Nothobranchius furzeri: one gene and its partner. The protein of the gene in region 2 interacts with the protein of the main gene of each other region in a pairwise test. Links are inferred from orthologs where the notes say so. Each region holds a gene or a part of one and is shown on either strand. Other genes may lie near its edges.

What was found. The genes of interacting proteins can lie anywhere in the genome.
Region 1: the proteins of gripap1 (region 2) and rab4a interact in binary tests that used the Homo sapiens proteins (3 or more experiments, as listed by UniProt). The link is inferred for Nothobranchius furzeri from reciprocal best matches to the Homo sapiens genes GRIPAP1 and RAB4A.

Annotation. Positions count from the first base shown.
Region 1 is NC_091749.1:34,752,852-34,756,956, reverse strand, and holds the start of rab4a (ras-related protein Rab-4A), read right to left. Parts: upstream 2,801-4,105; 5' UTR 2,665-2,800; coding exon 2,649-2,664; intron 1,990-2,648; coding exon 1,909-1,989; intron 1,499-1,908; coding exon 1,384-1,498; intron 1,210-1,383; coding exon 1,147-1,209; intron 1,069-1,146; coding exon 914-1,068; intron 799-913; coding exon 703-798; intron 617-702; coding exon 501-616; 3' UTR 473-500; intron 300-472; exon of another isoform or gene 280-299; 3' UTR 1-279. Other genes in the region: phf10 (PHD finger protein 10), read left to right, coding at 3,321-3,392. UniProt on the Homo sapiens protein: The small GTPases Rab are key regulators of intracellular membrane trafficking, from the formation of transport vesicles to their fusion with membranes.
Region 2 is NC_091755.1:47,276,106-47,280,221, forward strand, and holds the start of gripap1 (GRIP1-associated protein 1), read right to left. Parts: upstream 2,801-4,116; 5' UTR 2,693-2,800; coding exon 2,645-2,692; intron 1,739-2,644; coding exon 1,672-1,738; intron 1,597-1,671; coding exon 1,535-1,596; intron 1,442-1,534; coding exon 1,415-1,441; intron 1,278-1,414; coding exon 1,170-1,277; intron 1,104-1,169; coding exon 941-1,103; intron 1-940. UniProt on the Homo sapiens protein: Regulates the endosomal recycling back to the neuronal plasma membrane, possibly by connecting early and late recycling endosomal domains and promoting segregation of recycling endosomes from early endosomal membranes.

The DNA.
Region 1 (4,105 bases), on a different chromosome or scaffold from region 2:
AACTATTACAGAAGTAGTAATAATAATAATAATGCAGGCTAGGGTTAGGCATCCTGGTCAGGGACAATGTGGTCCAGTAGAGCCAGAGACGGATGAGTTTGTGGTTACCATGGAGATTCAAGTTCTTGTGAAGTTGGGCGTAGGTCTTCTCGGCTCTCTGCTCATGCACACGTGATAACAAAGGCTCTGAAGGGTCCGTGCAAAGGTCAGGGAGGGGTCACCAGCACAGCAACCTGAACCCAACACTGTCTGGTCCTCCATGGTCCTTCTTCTTCTTCTCTTCAAAAAAAAAAAAAACCCTGTCATTACATAAAGAAATTTAAAGCAACATAATAAAAAAGCAAATACTTTTCAATAAAAGATGCAACTTTTGATGTTTCTGTTATGTAACAAAAACATCACGTCAGAGATGTTGCTGAGACCATCGAGCACGGCTCTAAACCATCCAACGCTTCACATTTTTTTCCTGTACCTTGACTGCGTGAGATGCACGAGGCCCCTTAGCAGCCACACTCCTGTGTGCCCTGTGGCTGAGCGCGGCGAGGAGAACGAAGCTGTCGTAACGCGGCGTCGCCATACTGGATACCTGACCCCATCCTTTCTGGGTCCAATTCTCCTAAAACCCGAGATATGATCAGTGAACAGATGAGCACCTAAAGGGGATCTGGAATAGCTTTTTAGGGTTATTAAGCAAGCTCCTACCTGATTCTATCTTGTTGAGGATCTTCCGAGCGCACTGGACAAAAGCCTCTTCAACGTTCTCCCCCGTGAGAGCGCTGGTCTCCAGGAACATCAGCTCTAACAGACATGTTTTGATTAGAGCAGAAGCAACTGACAGTTCTTTGTAGAAAAAAACAATCAGTGTGTGGCTCGAAAAAGGCAAAGAAACAGAGGCGCTTCTGGTGGATCTCACCGTTCTCCTGAGCGAAGCGCGACGCCTCCAGGAACGTGACCTCCCTGTCAGCATCCAGGTCCTTCTTGTTGCCGCAGAGGATGATGACAATGTTTTGACTGGCTAACATCCTGGCATCGCTCAGCCACGTGGTCAGAGCGTTGTACGTTTCACGACTGCAGCCGGCGACAGACACGGATTAAAGTCTGGAGCACAGTTAGAAAACCAACAACTAAAGCCGAGTTCTGTGATACCTGGTGATGTCGTAGACAAGCAGGGCCCCCGCTGCGCCTCTGTAGTAGCTCCTGGTCACAGACCTGAGACACACACAGTTTCCGTAGAGCTAAATTTGCCACCAGCAATGCACAAACGAGACAAAAATGCTACATACTTCACTTAAGATATCAGCAATTCAAAAAAAGGTTAATTTTGTACAGAAGTTGTTATAAAAATGAAATACCACATGTAGTAATGATGGGATTTTGCCCTACCTAAAGCGTTCTTGTCCTGCTGTGTCCCAGATCTGCAGTTTGACTGTTTTGTTGACCACACTGATGATCTTAGAGCCAAACTCCACTCCGATCGTGTGGTTGGATTCATCTTTAACTGGAAACAATAAATGGATAGATGAAAAAAATGGATGTATAAATCAGGATTAGAAACAAAACTAGAGAATTATTCTGTACAAGTGTCAAATGTGTGAGATTTATTCTAAATGTTCAGAAATGTAACAGACATTTAAGTACTGTTATGCAATGTTAGTCACTTTACACGAGCAGACCTGTTGTACAGTATGTGTGCGTGAGTGAGTGTGTAGTCCGCCTAATGCAAATTAAATCTAAATTTAGAAATCAAAACCACTGTTCCATACAAACTACACCAACACTAAATAAAACACAGCCAATGTGGATTTTTCTCAAAACAATAAATGATCAACCTGAATAATTAGCCAGGCATTTAGATGATCAATCACAAAAAAAAAAATGTGAAAGAAGTGGAAATAATAGAGAACTTACATCTTTTCTCTATGAACTGGTGCAGCAGACAGGATTTTCCTGTCCCAGCATTCCCAATTACCAGGAATTTAAACAGGAAATCTACAAGGGGAACAATACAATCATTTAATAGACATAAGCTCAGCTTGACCCTCTTAATGTGGCATTCATAGGCACTAGCTCATCTTAATCCTAATCTTATTTGAATCAAGATTATTTTATAACTGAGATATAAACCAGCTGATATATATTACACATGAATACCTGATGGTTTGTTTATAAAGGCAGGGACACCTGCTTACTAACCACAGGTTTGTTCATTGTGTTTATGGTGTAAACAACTCATTTTGTATGCTGCAATAATATTTTACTGTGAGATTTAGAATGATCCAAATGTAAAATATACACATAAAGAGAGCATTAAATGGTTATTTATTTAAAAAGTTGAACAGTTCAGCCTCAAATTTATGCCAGCCCTGTCCTCCTCTTTACCCCTACCTGGTATCTAGCGGTTCTTCTGATTAGAATCCCAAAAGCTCCGTTACATTCAGTGTGAAAAGCTACATCAAACCCAGATGTATGATCTGAGTTGACTGACAGCTCTGCTTTAAGGCCAGAAGCCTTGAGTGGTGAAACGGTTAGCCTGTCGGCTATCTTTTTGCGATGAGAAAACGCCTTCTGGGCACACCTGCCTCGTCTTTACCACTGACTACCAGAAGGCACCCGTTAACTGTTGCCTCGGTTTAAAGCAGACTCCTTACCGTAAGACTCCGACATCGCCAATGTGGCGGTTTGATTCCAAAAGCAAAATGAAGGGAGGAATAAAAGTTGACAGATGCACAGCTAGCTCAGTAAAGGAATACACCAGTGATAATTTCCGTGCATTCCAGCTGATTTTTCCTTCCGACTTCCCGTAGGTTCTTCCTTTCAAAGTAAAAGTCCTTCCATGACCGACACTGTGATGCACTATATAGTTTTCGCCTCACTATGGAGCTGTTATTAAGTCTCCAGAAACGTTAAAATCATGATTTATTATAGATGTAAAAAATAATCACAAATAAGAAACATCCACATTGTAATAATTAGTGACCAGATATATTACTTATTATTGTTGTCAACTTGAAGGATTATACGTGCAAGTATTGACCAGTAGGCGGCAGTAGTGGTCACTGTGATTGGCTGACTGCAGCTAGACAACTATTTTAAAAATTGTTCTGCTGTGATAACCTTGCGTTAAAGGACCAAAACCGATTTCACATGATTTTAATACATGATCGGAATATTTGGTATTTAAAAGTAAAACGTTTTTCACCTCTATCACCGATCCAGGCCAGGAGAGTTCGCTTTCTAAACCGAAGGCTTTACCATAGAAGAAGAAACGCAGACTCAAGCTAGTGAACTAGCCTAGCTGCGGAACATTATTTTGTCGAAATATGGCTACTGTGCTCCCCATTAGACCACCTTGCGATAGTAATCCTGCCACCCCAGGAGCGCAATCTTTAAAGGTGACATTCACACTCCTTAAACTGCTTCATGCTTCAGCCTGTGTCCACGAATGACCCCGTTAGCCGTATTAGCGTCCATTCTTTGTTTTCATGTGTGCTCAGTTTATTCAATTTACCTTTCAGTTGTTGAAAAGTCGCCTGTGTAATTTGACTCGTATAAAAACGAAACGTAACCTCAAAATGCATTATTTGCTAATTTCTCTATTTTAAGTTCTACTTTTATTTTATATCTAATGAAACTTATACTTGTTTTTCCTAAAATAACACGTTTTGTACACGTGAGTTGTTTACAGGTAATGAATTATTATATCACTCATAAATCATGTTTTGCAGTGGCTCATTTAAAATAAAAAATGTATGAAGTAACCCTGAACTGGCAAACAACACACGAGTCTTTTAATCCTACCTTGTCAGGGAAATGGTCTTGTCTAATATGTACAGTAGTTTCTATAAACTTTCATTTTTTAGAAGTGATGCTCAAGCCAGAGGGTTTGAACCCTATTATTCTAGAGGTTAATGCCTCTAAAGTTGATGATGCAGCTGTATTGCATTTCAGGTTTTGGTTGCCCTCCATTCATTTTCACTGATTTGGGTACAGAGGAAACACTCAAGTCTTTTGTAAACAACTACTTTCATGGTCCTTTGTCAGGTTTTTCCAGGATAGATTTATATTTCTTAAGCACTGTGACTTTCAGGAATAGTTTACCTGATGT
Region 2 (4,116 bases):
CGTTCATGTCCCCAAGTCATGTCCTGCATTCATGTCCCCAAGTCATGTCCTGCATTCATGTCCCCAAGTCATGTCCTGCATTCATGTCCCCAAGTCATGTCCTGTATTCATGTCCCCAAGTCATGTCCTGTATTCATGTCCCCAAGTCATGTCCTGCATTCATGTCCCCAAGTCATGTCCTGCGTTCATGTACCCAAGTCATGTCCTGCATTCATGTCCCCAAGTCATGTCCTGTATTCATGTCCCTAGGTCCTACGTTCATGTCCCCAGGTTCTACGTTCATGTCCCCAGGTCCTATGTTCATGTCCCCAGGTCCTACGTTCATGTCCCCAGGTCTTGTTTTCATGTCCCCAGGTCCTACGTTCATGTCCCTAGGTCCTACGTTCATGTCCCCAGGTCCTACGTTCATGTCCCCAGGTCTTGTTTTCATGTCCCCAGGTCCTACGTTCATGTCCCCATGTCTTGTTTTCATGTCCCCAGGTCCTACGTTCATGTCCCCAGGTCCTACGTTCATGTCCCTAGGTCCTACGTTCATGTCCCCAGGTCCTACGTTCATGTCCCCAGGTCTTGTTTTCATGTCCCCAGGTCCTACGTTCATGTCCCCAGGTCCTACGTTCATGTCCCCAGGTCTTGTTTTCATGTCCCCAGGTCCTACGTTCATGTCCCCAGGTCCTACGTTCATGTCCCCAGGTCTTGTTTTCATGTCCCCAGGTCCTACGTTCATGTCCCCAGGTCCTACGTTCATGTCCCCAGGTCTTGTTTTCATGTCCCCAGGTCCTACGTTCATGTCCCCAGGTCTTGTTTTCATGTCCCCAGGTCTTGCTTTCATGTCCCCAGGTCCTACGTTCATGTCCCCAGGTCCTACGTACATGTCCCCAGGTCGTGTCCTGCTGGGAGAACACATTAAACCAGGTCCGGGATCTGTTGAAGTCTGACTCACCCTTCAACTTCTTCTGTAGGGTGGAGTTTTCAGCCTGGAGGCGGAGCTGTTCTCCATTTACAGAGGTGGAGGAGGAGCTAGGATGTCGGCTGGGCGCAGAGGCTCCGCCTTCTTCCTTCAGAAGCTGGTTCTCCTGCTCTAGCTGCTCAATCTGCGTGCAGAGCTAGAAGAACGACAATGTTAAGAACATGCGAGACCTGAAGACACGTCAGGACACACAGAGACGCACCTTGGACAGCTCTGTCATCAGCGTGGTGTTCTGCAGCCTGAAGTCATCCTCCTGACTCAGCAGCTTTCCCTGCAGCATCTGGTTCTCACTGAGAAGAGCATCCACCTCCTGAAACACAAACCAGAGGAACTTCTGTTCTGGAGCTCTGGCTGATTAAATCTTGTCTGACCAGACTCAGATCCACCTGAACAGGTAGGACCACCTACTGCCCAGCCGAGATCCACAACCAACCAGGTGGAACTTACCTGAGCTTTTTTGCTCTTACTCAAAGCCTGAAGAAGAAACAAATGTAAAGATCAAGAGATGAAGAAGGTTCAAATCCAGCAGATCAGACCAAAGATCACTCGTCAATAAGAACTGGTCACCTTCTGGGCTTTGATCAGGTCTCGCTCCAGATTCCCATTCTTCTGACGAACGACGCTGAGCTCTGAAACGCAACCAGACCTTCTAACCACATCCCACGAGTTCTGGTGACACATCTGAACATTCAGCAGGTTCTTACCAGCCGTGGTCTTCCTGAGATCATCTGACAGCTGGTAGTTCTGCGTCCGAAGCTCCAGCAGCTGAGCCTGCAGAGTAAAACACACAAAGCTGCGTCTGAAACAAACAACAACAAACATCCGCCTGCTGGTTCATCTAAATGAATGAATGAATGCATTAATTAATTAATTAATTAATTAATGGATTAAAAACATTTGATATGAATCAAACAAATCACGCAGACTGAAGAGGTTCTGGTGCACCTGGGAGCATCAACAGATGTGATATAAACCTCAGTAATGACCTCTGTAACCATGACAACCAGCACAGAACAGCTGCAGTTTTTGGACCTGGAGAACATGATTTGCTTCTACTGAGTGAAACTCAGGTCCATGTAGACCCCGGATCCTCTGATGGACCCGTCTGGTTTCAGACCAGGTCCAGAACCTTCTGAACCGTCATCCTGCTGAATACGTGGAACCACTTGCTTCCTCTCAGGGACTCGCGGTGTTGACTAGATGCCTAACACAGGATGACGTCATATCATTTAGCTCATTGGATACTTGAACATCTCATGCACTGACAGATCAGCACCAAGTTACAGGGGACGCCAACACACCTGTAACACCTGCTGATCCCTGTGGTCCTCCCCGGAGACAGGACCCCCCCCACCCCACCCCCACCCACCCCCCCACACACACACACACCCTCCCGTGACCGTCATCACGAGCCCAGTGAAAGCTAACAAGAATAACGGTTAGCAACAGAAAGCTAACGACCGTTAATAAAACCGGTTTGTTCGGCTGACCCAACCTGTCCTCACTCCTTCACTGAGCCTGATGCCGCAGCTGGACTGACACCGAACCGATACCGGACACCGTTAAACTGCTCCTACTTCAGAGCTAATGAACAGGGTGCCGCACCTGACAGCGGCGCAGGTGTTTCAGCTATCTGCACCTGAACGAGCTGGGTTAAAAGAGCAGCCTCCATCTTACCTGCATCCGGTGAAACTCCTCCTCGGATAGAGCCTGCGACATCGCCATGTTTACCGGGCTGCCAGCTAGCAGGCTAGGCTAACGGGAGACAGAGCAGCTAGCTAGCAGAGAGGAGAGCAGCTAGGAGTGGCATGAGAGGGATGTGTCACTTTGATCTGTTTCCACAACCAGGAAAGAGACCACAGAATAGCGTAGAGGCGGACCACCATCTTGGATGGGTCCCCATTCGCCCCAGTGCTTTTGTTTCCACCCGAGGAAGGTGCTTGTCCAACTAAAAACACATTTTCTTATGTTTTTTCCCCTCAACTTCAGACATATAGTATTGCATGATGCTTAAAATATAAATATATGTAAACATAAAATCCCAAAAGGTAGGCTAGAGAAGTCACATGATCTAGACAGATGTCTCACTATGTTCTGTTTCCAGCGGAGACAGATGTCTCACTCTGGTCTGTTTCCACAAACAGGAAACATACACTGAGGAGACAGATGTCTCACTCTGATATGTTTCCACAAACAGGAAACATACACTGAGGAGACAGATGTCTCACTCTGATATGTTTCCACAAACAGGAAACATACACTGAGGAGACAGATGTCTCACTGATGCTTCTGCAGGTAGAATAGCAACAAAGGCAGATACAAATGACAGCTTTCCAATTGAAACTTTTTAAATTTTAAATTTAGGACCTTCAATTGTTCACCCAAACACAGTTGTATGAGGACGAGCATGACCACTGTCGGGAAGGATCTCCTGTGTTACAGCAGGTCTGAAGAAGCCTCCAGCTGAAGATGCTCTGTTGTTGCATGATGGTGCCATGAAAAGGATGCTCGGGGTTGTCCATTATTCTGACATAACATAACTCTGTGGACACACAACTGTGTCTCCAGCCAGAACAACACCGTCGTGATCAAAGGTGCCGACGATAACACCGTCCTGGGTCTGGCTACAGTGAAGAGAGGACCAACAATCACAACTTTCTAGGGGTGACTCTAGAAGGCGCTATATCAAATACAGGCCATTTACCATTTAGATTTGGTGACATCTTGTTATTTACCAGGCCAACGACCAGCCCTGTGGGCGTGAGACAGCTGCAGGCAGGTCCAGGTCTCTGCAACATGCACCTTCATTACACGGCTGATGTTTTATTTTTTGCATTTGTTGGCATAAAATTATGATTTGTTTAAAATTATCCGTTGCTCACCTCACCTGAATTTCCCTACATGCACAGTGGCGCTCTGATCAGCAGCCTCAGGACCCCGCTTCTCCTCCAGCTTCACTGGCTGCCAGTCAACTTCAGGGTTCATTTCAAGATCCTGGTTCTGGTCTATAGGGCCTTACATGGACAAGCACCATCTTACATTGGTGATCTTCTTAGTCCCTACACCCCCAGCAGGTCCCTGAGGTCCAGTGACCAAAGCCTACTGGTTGTGCAGCACCAGGCTAAAGGTCAAAGGTGACGGATCATCTG